Arabidopsis thaliana: one gene and its partner. The protein of the gene in region 1 interacts with the protein of each later gene in a pairwise test. Each region holds a gene or a part of one and is shown on either strand. Other genes may lie near its edges. The genes, in order: CTR1 and ERS1.

Region 1 (11,977 bases):
TTAGTTTATAAATCTGTTATAAACCGGTACAAATTCCTTCAATCAAGACACAAAACATACCCCAACAGACAAGCAAAGGAGAAGAAGAAGAAGAAGAAGAAGAAGAAGAAGAAGAAGAAGAAGAAGAAGAAGAAGAAGAAGAAGAAGAAGAAGAAGAAGAAGAAGAAGAAGAAGAAGAAGAAGAAGAAGAAGAAGAAGAAGAAGAAGAAGAAGAAGAAGAAGAAGAAGAAGAAGAAGAAGAAGAAGAAGAAGAAGAAGAAGAAGACAGAGAGAGAGAGGAAAGAGCTTTTGCATTCGTACCTGGGACATAAATGATTAAACCAGACAGCTTCAGAGAGAAAAATCCTTTTAAAGAAACATTGTTCCACTTCAGACCTGCAAAAATTTTAATTACTCAAGCAGATAAAAGCATAATTTTGTGTTATATATCCTTCATAATCAATGTTATTAGACCCTGGATTAAGTGAATAAGAAAGGAACAATCAAACTCATCAATATTATATATATGTATAAAGAGTGCATTCAAAATGAATAATGAATTAATAGTTCACCCGATAAGAAACGGGTTTTTGGTCTAAACTATATATGAAAAGATCCTAAGGATCATTCATTGGCGTATTATCATCATCATCACCAGTTGGCCAGTTGAATCCAGTCTCTGTGATTCCTGCAGCAAATTGTTCCCAGCAGACATCAGGCAAACCATCACTTGTTGTTTCTGCAGCAAAACCAAACTCTGAGACATCATTATAGTCCATTGTGTTTCCCCATGCATCGGTGTTGCTGAAACTCGGTATTGTAGTATCGAAACCCATGCTCCATGTCGTCTCTTCTTGTTTAATAAGTCCTTCAGGAGATGGGAAGGACATCAAGTAATCTGGTTTGCTCATCTCTTCTTCTGATGGATACATCAAGTTCTTGCCTTTTGGATCGCTTGAAGTCATCCCTCCTAAACCCTTGGTGTTCTCAGTCTCTTCGTCATACATTAGCAATCTCTCCCAATCATCAGCTTCATACTTCACCACCTCCCCTCCTGTTGGAGAATCTTGAGGCTGCTGGTGGTGCTTGATGAACTTCTTTCTCGCCTTTTCCAATCCAAGAGCTCCTCCTTTTTCTTTTCCTTTGAAGTTCTTCAGGCGTTCCAAGAAACCCCGGTTCTGAAACAACTTAGCCAAGAAAGAGAGCAATTGCTTCTGACGTTGCTCTGCAGCTTTCAGCCTCTGGTTTACAGTGTCCACATGTCGAGCTGTGCCTCTGCTTTGCTGCTGAAGCTCAACCATTTCCTCCATCAATGCACGCCGCTCTTTCCTCAGCTTCTCAATCTCTCCTCCAACCTCAGTAGGTGACCCTTGGCTTTGGCTAGTGCTACTGCAGCAAGTTTGGTTGGATTGTGGTGATCGACGACGATGAATGTTCTTCAGAAGATGCTTCTTGCCTCTAAGGAAAGCCTCGTTAGCGAATTCCCACTTGTCAGTATCAATCTTTCGAAATCCCTGGAAACATTCCAACCCCAAAAAAACAACTCAAACAAGCTCAAGATAAAGTAAGTAAACACATTTACATCAAGACAAGACCAAATATCTCAAGATATTAGAAAGATTCTACCTCTGAAGTGTGAAGAACATGTGAGTAATGATGTCTTAAACCAGACTGAAGTTAACATTGTGAGAAAATAACAAAACTTCATAAACCAAAATTCTCCATTCAAACGAAACCATAAGTATACAAGATTACAAGCTTATTTCAGATGAGAAGTTATTATAAGATCCAATCGAGGCCAAAATTTCATAGATACAAAACTCAGTGTTACATGATAGAGAGATTAAACAAATCCCAAAAAGAAAAGAAAATTACAGGTAATTTTTTACAAGTTATCAAAAAACGAGTTTCAAGAATCTATACAAAATGGTTTTGGTCATCAAAAAGATTACAGAAACATAAAAACAAAACAAAACTGAAAGAAGAAGAAGAAGAAGAAGAATGAGTCTATCTAGAAAACAGAAACAGAGCAAGAGAGATGATTACATAAGTGTTAAGCTGTCTGACGAAGCTGGAGAAATTGTTGTGTTTGAAATTCCTTGGAAGTATGATTCTGGCAAACTCTAGAGGATCCCAAACTACGAAGCTAGCTCCGGTCAGTCCCCAAGAGATGACCGGGTCAAGAGTCGGGTCATCAACCAAATCAAAAGTCTTGGATAAAAAAGGTGGAATTGGATTCCCTTGTAAGATGTCTAGTGGCATGGGAAGTGGTGACCCAGAGAAACCCATGTCAGTGTCGACGTAGAGAGACCCGGGTATATCGGATCGTCTCGAAACGGGTACTGAAATTGGAGTTGGTTTAGAAACAGCATCTTTTTTTGGGCTCATTTGATATAGTAGAAAATTTACGGGTTTTAGTGAGAGAGAGAGTGAGAAATTGGGGTGTGTGTGATAATTAGGGGGTTTAAGAGAAGAAGGATGAGAGGTTTAATGGTTTATAAAGGTTTAGGGAAGGAAGTAACCGACAAACTGTAGTCAGATAATTGAAAAAAATCTGGGGAATAGAGAGGCGGTGGAAATGGGTGGGTCAGTTCCCGCCACCGTGGATTTATCTTTTTCGTCATCATGTTCCATTGATTCATCAGTTTAGAAGAAATTTGGAAACTTTAGTGACAAATAATTGTACAACCGACATTGAAATTGAAAGTTGTTTCCTTGCAGCTTCACTTAGCTCTCTCTCTCTGTGATTTGGTGAAGGAGAGAAAGTGGTGACGATGGTGGGTCCCACGTCATCTTGAGATTTTTGAAAGGAGGAGTGATTTAGCGCGTTTGCCAGGTCAGCTTTCTAATTTGGAACTGGGCCCTCACAAATCACTGATTCGCTTTTCGTGTTTCCTTTTTCAGAATTTAATATTGTATAATTTTGATTTACGCAATCCTATTGGTTACCGATCCATCAAACGATTAATTCGGAAGACAGGTAAAGTCGTTTTCAAGTGTGGGAACTTACTTAGACGCGAAGGCAAAAATAGTTGACTATGTATCTAGATATTTTCAGTCCCAATGCGTTTTTAACGATTTGGGATTATATTCATCTGTATTAGAGTCTCCGAAAGTTACAGTCTTATTTCATTTCTGTTGGTTTATAGTCCAGACTAATCGCACAGTGAACAAATGTAAATCCAATGAATCATATTGAGTTTGCAAAACCCTTTGACAGCATTTACCAGCTGCTCTTTTTTACCTTCGCTTAGTAACTAATTTAGCGGTATAAATGTACAGCAATGTAATTAAATATAGCTTTCAGTGCATTGCTACAAAGACATAACAACAAAATATTGCTTACCCTTTGGGACTAGATAGATAGATTATATCCCTCACATTGTTTCCATTACTACATTTTTTTTTCCTCCCTGTGACAATAGTCATGTACATTTTAACAATCTGCAACATTAAAAAGGGAACAAAACAGCAGACAAAGATCGCAAAAATAATACATGTATAAAAACCATGGGATTCTGTAGGATATGATTGATAGCTCATGAGGAATGTACCTTTAAAGCTATATCTTAACTAGTGTCTCCCTCCTGGGCAGCAAAAGAATGCTGAGAGTATATGTGCATATCATGATTATAACAACTTTTGAATGGACCGGGGGTATTTTACAAATCCGAGCGGTTGGGCGGAGGAACCGCTGATTTGATCAATGGTCTTAGCAAGTCCATTATAGTTGCAAATGATGGACGCTTCCATGGCTCACTGGTAATGAAACACATACATAAACATGAAGTCTATTCAAGAAGAATTCAAAAAAGAGATAGAAAATCTTAACGTACTTGGTCCAACAACCCTCGATTATGGCTGCAACCTGAGGATTCAGATTACGCGGGATCTCCAGCCGTTTACACTTGAAACCAACCGCAGCTACAACCTATGGAACATTTTTTTGTATGATCATATATAGCATGTTATGAAATGTAGAGTGAGGGACTTCCAAATGCAAAATAATATCATTATTATTTGAGATGTTTAGAGTGGAAAGTACCTGAGCCGGATTTAAGTTACCCCATGGTTGTTGCAATGTAGCAAGCTCCCACAAGATGACCCCGAAGCTGTACACATCTGACTTTTCATTAGACGGCTCATCTCGCAGGACTTCTGGTGCCATCCACTCGGGCTGATATATCAAAGTCAGTAATTATTTAGCTTCCATTGGAAATAGGACCTAGAAGAAAGTTACGTTGTTCAGCGTGTTTTAGTTTCAAACAAACTGAACTTACGGTTCCAGCTGCTGACTTCGAGGAAAGAAACGTGCTGGCCTTCAATCGCGAGAGACCAAAATCACAAACCTGAAATTTCAAGACAAATTGAGGAGTTAGAATAATAATGTTCTGATTGTTTTTAAGACGACAGCTTGAGGCTGCTGTATCTTTTAAGTTTCAGCAGATTAACGCCTTTTTGTAATGTCTCCAAACCAATTTAGAATTAAAAATCATAATTTATATATAAGCTTGTCTCACAAGAGGAATAAAATATCAAAATCAAAACATTGGACACAACAATTTCTAATTTAGATTCAAACCTTGACTGTATATTTTTTGTCAACCAATAAGTTTGGAGATTTTAGATCTCTATGCACAATTGGAGGATTGCGATTGTGAAGATAATTCATTCCCTTAGCCTGTGACAGAGAATTGGAAAGAAAGTTCCATGTGAAGAAACACCAAGATCAGGAAGTAATCACCCATACATGTAACATAAGGAATTAAACATACCACATCATAAGCCATACTCAGGCGACGTCTCTCATCTAATTGCTCCCTTGCTCCACTTTTATGCAAAAGTCTGTATAAACTACCTCTGTTTGAAAGAAATCATGGTATTAGAGTCATTATAGGCCAAAATTCTACACTCAGTACATCAAACCTTCCAAATCCAAGTAATTGTACCTTGACAAATATTCTGTCACTATTGACAAATTTGGAGGTTGAGTGACCGCACCCATGAAGAGAACAATGTTAGGGTGGCGAAGGCGTTTCATTATCGCAACCTGACAGCGAATCAAGATCATTGGAGACATTAATACAACAAGTTCATTACCAAAATCAAGAGAAAATTTTATTTGTGCACCTCTCTTAAGAACTCATTAACACGCTCAGCATGGAAGTCTTGCTCCATGAGAATTTTCACAGCAACATCCTGAAATTGATAGAGAATATTACTGCAATAATCAAAATTAGAATTCTTCTAGTGATAGAATTGTAAAATTCAAACAGGAAGACAAATTTATGATATAAAGACACATATACATCTAAAATGGGACACCTTTTGTCCGTGTTTAATTTCTGACAGAACGGAGAGTCACATATACAATAACTTTGCCTTTTATAATACCAAGCAGATCCAAAAGTCACAACCAAATTTTTAGAGCGAAAAAAAATTCAGCTGCGTAAATTCTGACAAAAAAGTTCTTACCGAGCCATGCCACTCAGCACGGTGGACAGTGCCAAAGGAACCTGAAAGAGCAGTCGCTCAAATTAGAGTGGAAGAATTAAAGGCAACAGAGAAGAATGTAATCTCAAAATGGGTGGCACTTTTTCCTTATTTTGTTCGAGAACAGAGTCCAAAGCAAAACCACTTCCTCAAGAATTTCATATTTCTTTGCATTTTTAGACCGAATCATTAATTTTTCCGTAAAATTATTACCTGCTCCAATCTTTTCTTTTATATTAAGATCACACCACGGGATGTCCATATCATCACCATCAAGTCCAAGTTCCCTATTTGCCCTGTTTGGAACTGGCTGACTGATTGGTGGGGCATTCATAGGTGCTGCTTCAATTTGATTTGACGCACGCATCATGTTCTGTGGAGGCATATTAGCACTGGGTGGCAAAGACCCACCACCATTTTCTGCCAATGCGTCATTCTCTCCACCCGGATTATCATATTGCCTATGAAACATTGAGAATCCCATATCATCTACAACCATTCAAACAAGCAGATATAAGAAATTAGAGTCCAGAAGACAAGTCTTGCACATAAATGCACTAGAATTCATAAGCTTGAACAGCAGACTAACAAGTTTAACCTTAAATATCATTAGGCAAAGAACCCACCAACAAACATACACATCAACAGCCAAAAACAACTAAAGTGAAAAGAGACAAGAAAACAAACAATAGAATCATTCTAAGACTACTAACACTTCAGATACTGAGACATGATCAAGAAATACCCTAAATGATAGGAGATTACTCTTTTAGGGGAAATACAAAACGAGATGTAAGCAGCATGCAAAAAGTTAACATATTATTCAGGTTTTTTGTATGGGAATACCTGATGCAGGATCGAAAACAAGATTAAGAGACTGGCTATCGGAGAAATATTGTTTGGCTAGTAACCTAAAATCGACTGCGGGTTCAACTGGCTTTGGTCGTGGAAACCGCAGAGGAGAAGAAATTGAGATAGATGAAGGACCATTTAGCAAGGAATCAGGCTCCCATAAGTGACCTGGCTTTCCTACTAAATCAACCAGGTACTCCCTGAAACCAAAACAAATTTTCCACGTCATCAACCTAATATTCTGCGAAACATTTGGAGCTATAATTGTTTTTCCAGAAACAAAAAGCAAAGAAAATAGGAAAATAAAGGCTCTTTCGCAATCACTTGTATCATACCTATCAAGCCCAAACCTGACAAGGCACGAAGCGGCATCGTCTCTATTACAATATTTACATCCTTTGGCAATTCGACAGGGTAAATCAATTATGTCAGCCAGTACCTGCATGCACCAAATAGAAGATATAAAATACTTTTTTTCTTTGGAACATTCAACTATCAGTAACCTATTTTTTTCTAATCAATAACACCACTTTTCACATTCAACGTTCTTCATATGTATTCCAATAAAAACAAATGGATGAAGCACAATAATTTATATGATCATTTCACAAGATGTCTTAAATGTCATGGGGATAGCATCAAAGTTGGGATCTCACTTTGAAGAGTAAAGCTCGATGTCTGCAGAGTCCAACAGAGAGGCTACCTATGGGAACCACCACTTTAAAGATTTCTTTTAGACCATCAATGCACTCCTTCCACATGGGAACCAACTCATCTTCCCCCATGATAACTGGACCCCTGGGGAAGCAAGAATTAACGAGTACAATGTGAGAAATCACAGGAAGATATAAAAATATAAGTTCAAAGGGATAGTAAGGATTGTATGAGTACAAACCCCATACGATTGCAGATAAGCTTTGCCAGCTGATCAACAACCTCTTTTGTGGTAATGCAGCTACAAGATATGTCGTGGACTCTATTGTGAAGTTCCTTGAAGGCTGGATCACTACGCCTATCAACTATGATCGCTTCAAGCGAAGAATCAACACCAGAATCAACAGCTCTTAATGATTCAATTGAAGGGATGCGACCACTTTCATGCAGGTCGATGCATAAGGTCCAAATATAGGGATCCAGACCATTCATCATATAAAACCCATCAGGAACTTTATCATAGTACGATAAGCAGCCATTAACCTGATGCAGCACACAAAACAATCATACTCTGCAATGTATCTAAACAACATATCTCATTTGCTACTAATAGACTTTTGGTAAGGAGATCTAACTGAAACTTCGGAAACAAGAGGACCATATCTCTATAACCACGATTCAATAATTTTGGGAAACAAAGCTTAACAGGAACAAATACCCAGAAACGATGTGAAACGGTTTCGGCTGAACTTGGCGAAGTCCGTAAAGCAGACTCGTCCGGTACAGGATCCAGAAAGTTCGGATCGTCGGCACAAGTAGCCTCCGACGAAAGCCTTAACGCCAATGCAAGCTGCAGCTGATAACTCTCCTCCGTCTGCTGCGCCCAGCTCTTCCCAGATGAAGACCCTCCAGCGGAGTCCGCCGCCATCTGTATCCTCAAATCTCCTCCACCACCACCAAATCCAAGCCTAAACCCATCATCTTGAGGAAATCCAACAGATTCGATCTCGTTAGCCGCCGCAGAAAGCGTAGGCATGTAATAATCCCCAGACAAAGAGCTCTCACCGAAACTACTCCCACTGGATTGCCTTTGCAACCCTAGAGACGAAGCATACATATTATTCCCAACCCGATTCGGTTGATTATTCAACCTATGATCACCACCACCACCACCGCTAGGATCCCAATCAAATCCGCCTCTCTCCGCCTTAGCTTTCCCGGTGTTCCCGCTGTTATGGTTGCTCCTGTTTTCGCTCGACAAGGAATCATAGTGAGGCGGAGGAGCTCCGGTGACGGAAACTGACACCTGATCGTCAGAAAATTGACTAAGCAAAGTGTAATTAGATCTTCTACCGGGCATTTCCATGGAAAAGAGAGTTATCGCGATCTAGATGAGAGAGTTTCCCGATCATATAAACATCAAACCCTAGGAAACCGCCATTGTTGAAGAAGTTTGGCGAGCTAGCTAGCCACTTGTTTCTCTCTCTAGTTTTTCATTTTTTTTTTGTACTTTTTAAAAAAGTCTCTCTCTCTCTCTCTCTCTCTCTCTCTCTCTAATGGAATTGGATTTTTTTTTTGTTTTTGCGTTATCATAGGAAATAAACTTACTCGGTGCGTTTCTGTTGATAATTTCGTTATATTCCTCTTTTGTCCTCCTTTTTATGGAACTTTGACATTTTTTTTATTTTTTGTCAAAACAATTCTCCAATTTAGTTTGTTTTTTAGTGTATTATTATTTGTCTAATTTTTGTATTCGACTATGATATCTATTCATATGTTTTGTGCTAATTTAATCGCTAATAAAACTGTTTAAACAATTAATTTGGTATTTCATATTTTGGTGATAAGCAACTGAAATTGGAAGATAAAAAGTAGTATCGTAGTGAAAGTAGAAAACGCAAAGCTAAAAGAGGAACATACACAGTGTAAAATACTAAACCATCTTGCCTATCAAATCCAAATACTATCAAATTTGATCTTTTACACCAATCTGAATCCGTAACATTGGATCCAAGTTTCGTATACCTAAACATGAAATTTTCATTCGGCTCTACGTAGTCTAAAAAACTCGACATAAAATAAATAAAAAGCCTTTATAACGTCCACAATATTTAGAATAGAAAGTGAGAGAATGGACTATAATAAAATAATTGGAGTCGAGGGGGATGTATTCGTGTATGCGAAAATGGATGGGCTCTTCTGTCTTTATATTCCTTAATTTGTCTATTCAAACACATTCGTATTTCTGGTCTTCGGCCTGCGACTTCTATACCATGCATGCATCTTATCTCTCTCTTTTTTTTTTTTTTTCGTTTTCTTTTCTACTTCTCCATTTTTTTTTAATTTGGTTATTTTTATTGCCTTTATGTTTTTTGTGTATTATATATAAATGAACTAATAATACTTCATTATGTTTCGTGTTATTATAAGTGAATTTTTCACAACCATTACAAAAAATTATCTTTTGCTTAAAAGTTAACTTTGGATTATAGTACTTCATAAAAATGTAAAGATTTTGATCAAGTACTTATCAACGCAGCTTGGGTAGTCAATGTGCTGTCATTAATTTATCTATCAAGCTATCCACGCAGCTTGGACAATAAATAAATATTTAAATTCTATTGCATATTTATATCATTTGATCCGCTAAGGTTCATCGAATACTGCCAGGTTCATTGCACTCAACGCATTTTTGTCATTAACTTACGTTTTTTAGCCATGGCTGCTGAGAATATAAAGTTGCTACTATGTAAAGAAACTTTTGGGTTTGATCATATTTGTGCACAAAAAAAAATAAAAAAAAAATCATACTTTTAAAACTAGTATTAATCCAAAAAGTGCTAAAACATAACAAAAAAAAATTCTCCTTAACTACTATACAAACATATATTTTTTTATGCGCATAAATTAAAACTTAACAATTGATTATGATCACATATGTTGAAAAAAATCGAAATTATGTGTGATATGTAAAACCGGAGTATAATATTGGTAAACTATAAATTTAAGAGCATTGGAAAATGTTCATGATTCATGCCGAGAACTCTTCTAAATCTAAACACGAGAGGCCCCGAATAGATCTAACTAAAATGAATTGTGTTTAATATAATAATAGTGTTCCTTAATTCTCACTCGTGCAACTATCCATTTAATAATTTTAATTATTCGTAGTCGGGGACCGTACTTAGTTTTATCATATAAACTCTTCACAGATTTTGTTAACTGGTTTTTCTTTGGATTAGAAAAAAATTAAAACTTTGCGATACATTATGCTCAATTTATCCGTGGGACTTATTTTGAGGAATGGAGATAGATATTGTCATGAAGACATGAATATATAGACCCCACATGTTGACGAAAACTCCGTCAGTCAAATAAAGTGTTAAAAGTCCGTTACGATCCGTCCTGACACCGTTAAAAAAAGCCGTCAAAATAAAGTATGGGCTTGAAACGTTAGTTTTGTTGGGCTAATTTTAAAATCATGGCCCAACTAAAGGAGATATTCGAGTGGACCGCGTAACAGAGGATCCCTAAAATCCCTTCCTCCGATTAATAAATTCCAGCGGACATTTTAGCCTTCTCACATCAACACGCCCTAAAACCGCTCTCGAGAGACGAATCGCTCTCAGCTTCTTCTAGAACCTTCTCCTTCTCCTTCGACGCATCGTCGCCTTCAAGATCACACTACCTCGCACAACAATGGAGTTCTGGGGTAAAAAACATCTCCTATCTTACTCCTTCTTCTTCTTCGTTCTCTGCGCTTCATTTCCTGCATTTAGTTTTTTTTTAGCTTCTGGTTTCATCGCTTTTTTTCGTTTTGCCATGTTTTTCTACTGTTTTTTCTATGGAATCTTCTGTTTAGCTAAACGAGAAACGGGAATAGTGAGTATATGTGACAATCTAGGGTATGGACTGTTCGTCTTCGTAGAAAATTGGGGAAAACTGAAAAGTTTTCTCTCTCGCTAGGTTTTAACTCCGATAGAGGTTTCATTTGGGGATTTTGTTGCAGAATTACTGATTTGTATGCTTTCTATGCGTTTGCAGGTGTTGAAGTTAAGAATGGCAAACCACTTCACCTAGATCCTGGGCTAGACAGGCTCGTGCACATCTCTCAGGTACTTTTGAATTTGCAAGCTTAATTTGATTTATAAGAATGTATTTTACAGTGACGTTTGGTTTATTTTTGTTGAAGGTTGCTTTGGGAGAGAGTAAGAACAATGTAACCGAACCAATCCAGCTTTACGTGACTGTTGGATCGGATAAGCTTCTCATTGGAACGCTATCTCATGAGAAGTTTCCTCAGCTGTCTACGGAGATTGTCTTGGAAAGGAACTTTGCGCTGTCTCATACTTGGAAGAATGGGAGCGTTTTCTTCTCTGGTTACAAAGTTGATGCATCTGATCCATATCCTTTACTATTTGAACATTTTTGTTGTTATCGCTTTAAGCTTTGTTGATGAAAATGTTTTGGGGACTTGTTGCTTTACTCTGTTTTTGACTTCCTTGACTCTATCTCACCGAGCCTGAGGATTTGATTGATGATCAACTTGAGGCTGCTGGTTTCAAAGGTAAATGGGGACTTTTATATCCAGTCCTGCAATGATTTGTCTCCAGTTGTCTTATTTTAGTTTATTTAAGAACATCAATCTCTTATAAATTTATTTGGCCTTGGTTGAGCCAGCTGCTCCGAAATCTGCTGCGAAACAGGTGAACTTTCAGTTGCCAAATGAAGATGTCAAAGCCAAGCAAGATGATGACGCTGACGGTAGTGAAGAAGATTCTTCAGATGATGATGATAGTGAAAACTCTGGAGACGAGGAGGTACTTTTATCTATATATACTAGCTCAATTTGTTATAGAATTTTACTTAGGCTCAGTGACATGTTGATTAAACCTATAGACAGTGGTACTAGAGTTATCTTAAGTATGTTTGTAACTTCTATATTTGCATTTTCACATGAACCCTTGATTACCTATTGTGTTTTAGCCCATTCTCACAT
Region 2 (9,166 bases), on another chromosome or scaffold:
ATTGATACAACGTTCATGAAACGCGATATCAACTTCTCATCTACAAGAGTTCAACATGAAACTCCGGCGAACGATGAGGAACGATTCTCAGAGAGAATCCAAAAGGAAACTATAAACAACAAATCCAAAATCTTCTTATCTTCTGCAAATGATCTTCATTAGCTATATATCTCTGCATCTCGATTCTTCCTCTAACACTCCCATCGACCAATCTTCTCTTGCCACGTCTCACAGCTACTGTCTCCACTCATGTATTGCCACGTATCTAACCATATATCAATGCCTAGTTTCCTATATCAGATTGACACCGAAGTATTGAGGACGAGAGAGAAGAGAGAAGTGCTTCGTTATAGATGCAAATCTTATCTCTGTCTCCCTCAAAACCCAAGGAGAGGGAAGATAACTATTTTAATGTTGATTTTTTTTTTTTAATGAATTTTAAAAAGGTAAAAATACCTTATTGCTTTTATTTTTATAAAAAAATTGGTGTGGCCTTGTGGGAGCTATTTTTAGTTAGTGCATATAATATGATGCTATTGAAAATCCCTAAAGCTTATTACCATTGTTAGTTTGTTACCATTCACACCTTGAGTGTTTGATTGATGGGTTATTTCAACACATTCCACGTTTGCGACCAACGTTTGATCTTATTTCTTTCTATTACCAAAAAAAAAAAAAAAAAAAAAACTCGAATAAGATTAAATTGGAATTACTAGTCGGTTTAGATAAGATCATAAGAGAGAAGTCGAAGTTGTTTTGGAAAAAAAAATTCCGATAGATGTAAGCTTATTTGTGGTTGAACTTATAAAACCATGTATGTAAACGAGCACACATTTAGTCTGTAACCTGTTTATTCTAATTTCTTATAACGGACCACAGTCACATGTTTATCTCTAATTCTACAAAGTTGTCTATTTTCAACGGTGGTCAAAGTATGGATTAGATTTTCATTGCACCCACCACCACCTCTCTTTGCAAGCACCTCCCAAGAAAGGTACGTATATCAGATCAGAGGGTTTACTTTTTCATAATGTTAGTCTTTGATGAGTTTGTGTTCTTTTGTGAAGAATATAATGTAGTCTTTCATTATTTTGGCTTGTGTCTTTCAAAACTCTCGTGAAAAAATGATGCTTTATACCAATATACACCTTCTCATTTCCTAGCGGATTTCATTATTTCATAGTTTTGAACTTTGAACGTGAACGAAAAGCCAATAGTTATATCTATTTAAAATGCATCAATAAACAATACTCTATTTGTGATAGTATGAGGTGAGAGAGAAGAAATGATGAGCGATGCAGAGGGGAGAGGAGACATGCGTGACGGAAAAGAGACTCAAAAACGACACACAGTTGGAAAGTGAGGAGATAATATAGCATTATTTTTAGGGTTTAGATCAGAAGAGAGAAGTTTCGAGAGAAAGAGATTAACGGAGACAAACAAAAACCCTTCCTTCACTCCAACACAATGAAGTCAACGTGCTTTTAACATGTGGATACCGATATCTCCCACGCTCTTCCTCTGCTTCTTGGTTTTACACTCGCCCTTGTCTTTTGCCCTTTGTACCCAAATATATATTCAGCATAATCGTGAAATGACGACTATGTAGAATGATAATGCACCAAAGACTAAGATATTTTAGACGCCCAAGAATTAAATTTGGATACACAAAACTAATCACTTGGTGGTGTCCCGTCTCAAAGCTCGATCCCAAAAAGTCAACAACATGCACCATGACCATGAGTATTCTGTATTCACTACCAAATCGACACTACTATAACTATAACGTCAAACTAATCCATATGCTTTGTTTTACTTTTATAGCCCCCTCGATTACGAAACACGTATAGTTTGGTATCAAGACAATTGTAGAGATTATGTATGGTGAGAAATTCATATCTTTGCAGTCACCTTAAACGCAATCTATTTGAGATTTGTGAAATCAAGAAAGTAATTATATAAAAAAAAAAGATATATAACGAATCGCGAAAAATTATTACTAAGTTTATTTTTTGGGAGATAAATGATATATTCCCCAAGTAATTTACGTAAATTATTTTAAATGAACTATTAAGTCAATTATATATTTAAAAGAAATCTTAAAACTGATATCCTAATTTATGAAAAAAAAATAATAATTTAAATCTGCTTTCCCAAATATTAAATGAACTATTAAGTCAATTCTTTAAAAATAACAGTTTAATATTTTTTTGAAGATCAAAATTACTACTTACTATCTTAAACATATATAATAGTCAATCAAAAACAAATTCAAAATTAAAAAACCCACTAGCACATCATAAAATTTAATTTAGCTACTCTTAGGAAAAGTGTTATTCAAAATAAATTTCCCAATTTATTTTTCTAGATTTGCTGTTTATCATTTATTTTGGAAAGCGATTAATTTTGGATATTATAAGTTTCATGAATCACTAGTGTAAGTTAGCGAGTATGATTCCGGAGCGTAAGACCCACGCGCAGTAGACGAAGACGGAAGCAAGCACCTTCTACTTCCTCTTCCTCTTTGTCTTTAAACCCCTCGTCGTCTTTCTCCCGTGTTCTAACCTCATTCCTCCATAACCCCTTTCTTCCTTTTGAATCTCTCCTTCTTCTTCTTCATCCCCAAATTCGAAACCCTAACCCTAAAACTCAGTTTCAAAATGGCTGAACCAATCACCAAGGAGCAGCCTCCTCCACCTGCTCCGGACCCTAATTCCACCTACCCTCCTCCGTCCGATTTTGATTCCATCTCGATCCCTCCGTTAGATGATCATTTCTCCGATCAGACTCCGATTGGTGAACTAATGTCCGATCTGGGGTTTCCCGATGGTGAATTCGAGCTCACTTTCGACGGTATGGACGATCTTTACTTCCCTGCTGAGAATGAGTCGTTTCTCATCCCTATCAATACGTCCAATCAAGAACAGTTTGGTGATTTCACTCCGGAGTCTGAAAGTTCTGGAATTTCCGGTGATTGTATTGTTCCCAAAGATGCAGATAAGACTATTACAACTTCCGGTTGCATTAACCGGGAATCTCCTAGAGATTCCGATGATCGTTGCTCCGGTGCTGACCATAATTTAGATCTACCGACTCCATTGTCCTCTCAGGGTTCGGGTAATTGCGGTTCTGATGTTTCGGAAGCTACAAATGAATCGTCGCCTAAATCGAGAAACGTTGCGGTCGACCAGAAGGTTAAAGTGGAAGAAGCTGCTACGACGACGACGTCTATTACCAAGAGGAAGAAAGAGATCGATGAGGATTTGACTGACGAGTCTAGGAACAGTAAGTACAGGAGATCGGGAGAGGATGCTGACGCTAGTGCTGTTACCGGTGAAGAAGATGAGAAAAAGAGAGCTAGACTCATGAGAAACCGTGAAAGTGCTCAGCTTTCTAGGCAGAGGAAGAAGCATTACGTCGAGGAGCTTGAAGAAAAGGTTAGGAATATGCATTCTACGATTACGGATTTGAACGGTAAGATATCGTATTTCATGGCTGAGAATGCTACTCTAAGGCAGCAATTGGGTGGCAATGGAATGTGCCCGCCGCATCTTCCACCACCTCCGATGGGAATGTATCCACCTATGGCTCCAATGCCTTATCCATGGATGCCTTGTCCTCCTTATATGGTGAAGCAACAAGGATCTCAAGTGCCTTTGATTCCTATTCCTAGGTTGAAACCACAGAACACCCTTGGAACATCCAAGGCTAAGAAGTCCGAGAGTAAGAAGAGTGAAGCTAAGACCAAGAAGGTGGCTAGTATTAGTTTTCTGGGTCTTCTGTTTTGTCTATTTTTGTTTGGTGCATTAGCTCCAATTGTGAACGTTAATTATGGAGGAATTAGTGGTGCTTTTTATGGGAACTATAGATCTAATTATATTACTGACCAGATTTACAGTCAGCATAGGGATAGAGTTTTGGATACATCTCGTAGTGGTGCTGGTACTGGGGTTTCTAATAGTAATGGGATGCATCGTGGGAGAGATTCTGATCGAGGAGCTAGGAAAAATATATCTGCAACAGAGAGTTCTGTCACTCCTGGAAATGGTAGTGAGCCTCTAGTTGCATCACTCTTTGTTCCGAGGAATGACAAGCTTGTGAAGATAGATGGGAATTTGATTATCAATTCTATATTGGCGAGTGAGAAAGCCGTGGCTTCGAGAAAGGCTTCTGAATCAAAGGAGAGGAAAGCTGACTTGATGATCTCTAAAGATTATACCCCTGCACTGCCTCTACCTGACGTGGGAAGGACAGAGGAATTGGCTAAGCATCTCTATAGATCTAAGGCTGAAAAACAGAAAGCTCTATCCTCTGGCTCTGCTGATACTCTGAAAGACCAAGTCAAAACAAAAGCAGCCAACGGTGAAATGCAGCAATGGTTCCGTGAAGGTGTTGCAGGTAATCATGGGTTTTTGATCTTACTTTCTGTTCCCTTGACTTGGTTATGTAGGCAGGCATTGTAGGTATACTAGTCCTTATCATATCTTGATATTAGACACAAGAACATTTTAATGAGGCTTAACTTACCTTCAGCAAATCTCTGGTCATGAGTAGATGTATTGTATAATCTGGATTAGATACTAAACACTAATAAGGAACATGTGAAATTGTTACTCATATTGTATATTTTTCTTCATCTTTCTCGGCAGAAGCTGTAAGCGCAGTAGTAGCGTTTATATCTTTCTTGTTCACTAAATAATAACACCTTTTTTGTTTGTTAAATGACTATATTGTAGGTCCCATGTTTAGTTCAGGGATGTGCACTGAAGTGTTTCAGTTTGATGTATCCTCAACCTCTGGAGCCATCATTCCTGCAGCTACCAACGTCTCTGCTGAACACGGTAAGAACACCACAGACACACACAAGCAACAGAACAGAAGAATCCTTCGTGGTCTTCCCATTCCACTCCCAGGATCAGATTTTAACCTCACGAAAGAGCACCAAAGAAACAGCAGTAGCAAAGAAATCAAGCCTGCTTCATCAATGGTTGTATCTGTGCTTGTTGATCCCAGAGAAGGAGGTGATGGAGATATAGATGGGATGATTGGGGGACCAAAATCACTGTCTCGAGTTTTTGTAGTCGTGCTTCTGGACAGTGCAAAGTATGTAACATACTCCTGTGTCCTACCTCGATCAGGAGCTCCTCATCTTGTGACCACTTGAAGACATATGAGGATTGAAACATATATCAGCAGGTCTTCTCTCATATAGGCTTTGTATGTAAAAGAATAAATACCTGCTCTCTGGTATCACGTAATATCCTTAGCTAATACCGTTGTCCGGTTTTTGTTTCCAGATGTAGAATCCGAATGCTGTAACTTTTTTTTTTTACCTTTTATAAACTCATAGCCTTAGAAAGTTTTATCAAACCTCTCATATACATTGCAAAAGTCGATGACCAAAAAATGTCATTCTACAATAGAAGCTGAAATCCAAGTAGACAAAAGTGATCAGTTAGTTGATTCCATGGTTTGAGCCAAGGGGGCATCGGTGATAGCAGGAGAATATGAGCACACAAGTGACAGAAGAAGAAGTCTTTACCTGAAGGTCGACGGAGAGAGAATTGGATTAGCATGAACCCTCAGATTCATGAACCTGAGCTCACTTTTAAAATTTCTTTATTTCATTGTCAGAAAAAGAGAGCTAATAATATTATTATTTAAATGTAACAAGTAGGCCTATAACACGTGAACTTCCCTCTTTGCAAAAAAAAAATCATCAAAAACTTTTACCTCTCATTGGTTTCTTCTTTATCACACTGTTACGCTTGGATTCTCATTTCTTCAAGTTCATAACGCTCGGATCAATCAGGAAGACGAACTTGAACTTTCTTTTTTTCATCATTACCCAAAGCTATGAGGCTCACACCACCAATAGCTCCGCCGTCATGAATCCTTCTCTTCCAGGTACTGTGCCGTCTCGGGATAACAAACTTTCTATTTATTCTCTTCTGATCGGATCTATCTATCGATGAAGATTGATTTCACTACTTTAGTAACATTTCATCTGATCGATCTGTGTTGTGTTATCGAGGAATCAATCTCATTTTGTAGATTCAATTTTCTGGATAGATTTTGTATCTCTTTTCCATAGCTCTAGTCCAAATCTAGTCTCCACTGATATCTGAGTTTTGTTGACCAGGTCAACACAAGTCAGAGCTCCAAAAATGGAGTCATGCGATTGTTTTGAGACGCATGTGAATCAAGATGATCTGTTAGTGAAGTACCAATACATCTCAGATGCGTTGATTGCTCTTGCATACTTCTCAATCCCACTCGAGCTTATCTATTTCGTGCAAAAGTCTGCTTTCTTCCCTTACAAATGGGTGCTTATGCAGTTTGGAGCCTTTATCATTCTCTGTGGAGCTACGCATTTCATCAACCTATGGATGTTCTTCATGCATTCCAAAGCCGTTGCCATTGTCATGACTATTGCTAAAGTCTCTTGCGCGGTTGTGTCGTGTGCTACCGCGTTGATGTTGGTTCATATTATTCCTGATCTTCTCAGTGTTAAGAACAGGGAATTGTTTCTCAAGAAGAAAGCTGATGAGTTAGATAGAGAAATGGGTCTTATTTTAACACAAGAGGAGACTGGTAGGCATGTTAGGATGCTTACTCATGGAATTAGAAGAACTCTTGATAGGCATACTATTTTAAGAACCACTCTTGTTGAGCTTGGTAAAACTCTTTGTCTTGAGGAATGTGCGTTGTGGATGCCTTCTCAAAGTGGTTTATATTTGCAGCTTTCTCATACTTTGAGTCATAAAATACAAGTTGGAAGCAGTGTGCCGATAAATCTCCCGATTATTAATGAACTCTTCAATAGCGCTCAAGCTATGCACATACCTCATTCTTGTCCTTTGGCTAAGATTGGGCCTCCGGTTGGGAGATATTCACCTCCTGAGGTTGTTTCTGTCCGTGTTCCTCTTTTACATCTCTCTAATTTCCAAGGCAGTGACTGGTCGGATCTCTCTGGCAAAGGTTACGCTATCATGGTCCTGATTCTCCCAACCGATGGTGCAAGAAAATGGAGAGACCATGAGTTAGAGCTTGTAGAAAACGTGGCGGATCAGGTCCATCTCTTTACTTGTATATGTTTGGTTGTGTGTCAAGTTGCTTTACCAGCTTTTAGTGTTTTGTTTTGTCCCCTGACTCTCACTTCATTCAGGTGGCTGTGGCTCTCTCACATGCTGCAATTTTGGAAGAATCCATGCACGCTCGTGACCAGCTTATGGAGCAGAATTTTGCTTTAGACAAGGCTCGTCAAGAGGCTGAGATGGCAGTACATGCTCGAAATGATTTCCTAGCTGTTATGAACCACGAGATGAGGACACCGATGCATGCCATCATCTCTCTTTCTTCTCTTCTCCTTGAGACTGAGCTGTCTCCAGAGCAAAGAGTTATGATCGAGACAATACTGAAAAGCAGCAATCTTGTGGCTACACTAATCAGCGACGTTCTGGATCTTTCGAGATTGGAAGATGGGAGCTTACTCTTGGAAAATGAACCATTCAGTCTACAAGCGATCTTTGAAGAGGTAACTAAATCCCCCTGATTAACCAGTGAAGTCCATTATATATGTCTTACATGAATAACATGGGCGCTTTGAATCTGCAGGTCATCTCTTTGATAAAGCCAATCGCATCAGTGAAGAAACTATCAACGAATCTGATTCTGTCTGCAGACTTACCAACTTATGCTATTGGTGATGAGAAACGTCTGATGCAAACAATTCTTAACATCATGGGCAACGCTGTGAAATTTACTAAGGAAGGCTACATCTCCATAATAGCCTCTATCATGAAACCCGAGTCCTTACAAGAATTACCATCTCCAGAATTTTTTCCAGTTCTCAGTGACAGTCACTTCTACCTATGTGTGCAGGTTAGACCCAATCTACAAATTACTAAACTACAAAGTTAAGCTTCTTACTGTGTTCTTACTGTTATAATCATGGTGCAGGTGAAGGACACAGGGTGTGGAATTCACACACAAGACATTCCTTTGCTCTTTACCAAATTTGTACAGCCTCGGACCGGAACTCAGAGGAACCATTCCGGTGGAGGACTCGGGCTAGCTCTCTGTAAACGGTAACAACCCAAAAGTATATATAAGTTATAAGCAGATGGTGTTACAAATAGCTAAAAGGCAAGTTTCTGTTGATGGATGTCTCTGGTTAGGTTTGTCGGGCTAATGGGAGGATACATGTGGATAGAAAGTGAAGGCCTAGAGAAAGGCTGCACAGCTTCGTTCATCATCAGGCTTGGTATCTGCAACGGTCCAAGCAGTAGCAGTGGTTCAATGGCGCTACATCTTGCAGCTAAATCACAAACCAGACCGTGGAACTGGTGATACATTACGTTGGAAAGACTTGTATTGAGGTGAGACTTTTTAACTACACAGCAGCAAGAGAAAGAAGAAAATACATGACCGGACGGTGTGATCTAACTTATTGGATTTTGTTGGATGTAATATGTAAAATAAAAATCCTATATACGGGGAGAGGTACCTTATCTGTTCTCACTATATTTTATTGAACATTACTTTAGAGAATATGTTTTGGAATTCACTACTAAATAAACGATATAAATCTTCACGAAAAGAGCAACATTTTGTGGTTGTGGCAGATTCACAAATTCTTTTTTATATATGATAAATTACCTTAGAAAGTTTTACTTACTCATCAAACTTCTCAAATACATTGCAAAAGTCGATGAAAAGAAAAATGTCTTCTACAAAATAAACAAGGAAGCTCAATGAGACAAAGTGATCAGTTAGCTGATTCCATGGTTTGAGCCAAGGGGGCATTGGTGATAGCCATCTTCATGTCAAGAGGATATGAACCACTGCTTTGTTCTCGAATCTCTCTGTATTCTTGGCAAATGGCACACAAGTGACAGAAGAAGTGTGTTACAAAATCCCCACATGGAGCCTCCTGAATCAAAGAATGTTAAATCAGTCAGAAGCGCCACATACATACCTAATGGTATTATCCACATATGTGTCGTTTGAGAAATTCTAACCTGTAAATTGTACTTGGCTCTTAATGATTTGCGGTACCCGCAAGCATAACATGACACAAAGCATCCCGGTAGACCGAGCAATGCGCCATTAGTTGCAAAGCAGCAAATGGTATTGACCAAAGCCCAGGAGATGCAATGGGTTA

What was found.
Region 2: the proteins of CTR1 (region 1) and ERS1 interact in a two-hybrid assay, tested with the Arabidopsis thaliana proteins (2 studies listed by BioGRID).

Annotation. Positions count from the first base shown.
Region 1 is NC_003076.8:971,317-983,293, forward strand, and holds CTR1 (Protein kinase superfamily protein), read right to left. Parts: upstream 8,534-11,977; 5' UTR 8,345-8,533; coding exon 7,697-8,344; intron 7,522-7,696; coding exon 7,220-7,521; intron 7,123-7,219; coding exon 6,981-7,122; intron 6,764-6,980; coding exon 6,660-6,763; intron 6,525-6,659; coding exon 6,319-6,524; intron 5,962-6,318; coding exon 5,686-5,961; intron 5,496-5,685; coding exon 5,455-5,495; intron 5,179-5,454; coding exon 5,110-5,178; intron 5,030-5,109; coding exon 4,929-5,029; intron 4,840-4,928; coding exon 4,755-4,839; intron 4,661-4,754; coding exon 4,562-4,660; intron 4,329-4,561; coding exon 4,260-4,328; intron 4,157-4,259; coding exon 4,025-4,156; intron 3,911-4,024; coding exon 3,816-3,910; intron 3,739-3,815; coding exon 3,642-3,738; 3' UTR 3,534-3,641; exon of another isoform or gene 3,393-3,533; 3' UTR 3,044-3,392; downstream 1-3,043. Other genes in the region: AT5G03710 (replication factor C large subunit), read left to right, coding at 79-311; HSFA3 (heat shock transcription factor A3), read right to left, coding at 597-1,493, 2,026-2,367; HD2C (histone deacetylase 2C), read left to right, coding at 10,678-10,690, 11,023-11,093, 11,171-11,382, 11,496-11,545, 11,659-11,798. UniProt on the Arabidopsis thaliana protein: Acts as a negative regulator in the ethylene response pathway. Phosphorylates the cytosolic C-terminal domain of EIN2, preventing the signaling in the absence of ethylene.
Region 2 is NC_003071.7:17,083,821-17,092,986, reverse strand, and holds ERS1 (ethylene response sensor 1), read left to right. Parts: upstream 1-5,660; 5' UTR 5,661-5,907; intron 5,908-6,142; 5' UTR 6,143-6,167; coding exon 6,168-7,073; intron 7,074-7,168; coding exon 7,169-7,537; intron 7,538-7,617; coding exon 7,618-7,884; intron 7,885-7,962; coding exon 7,963-8,090; intron 8,091-8,180; coding exon 8,181-8,352; 3' UTR 8,353-8,666; downstream 8,667-9,166. Other genes in the region: BZIP17 (Basic-leucine zipper (bZIP) transcription factor family protein), read left to right, coding at 2,661-4,398, 4,737-5,164; AT2G40935 (PLAC8 family protein), read right to left, coding at 8,771-8,935, 9,024-9,166. UniProt on the Arabidopsis thaliana protein: Ethylene receptor related to bacterial two-component regulators. Acts as a redundant negative regulator of ethylene signaling.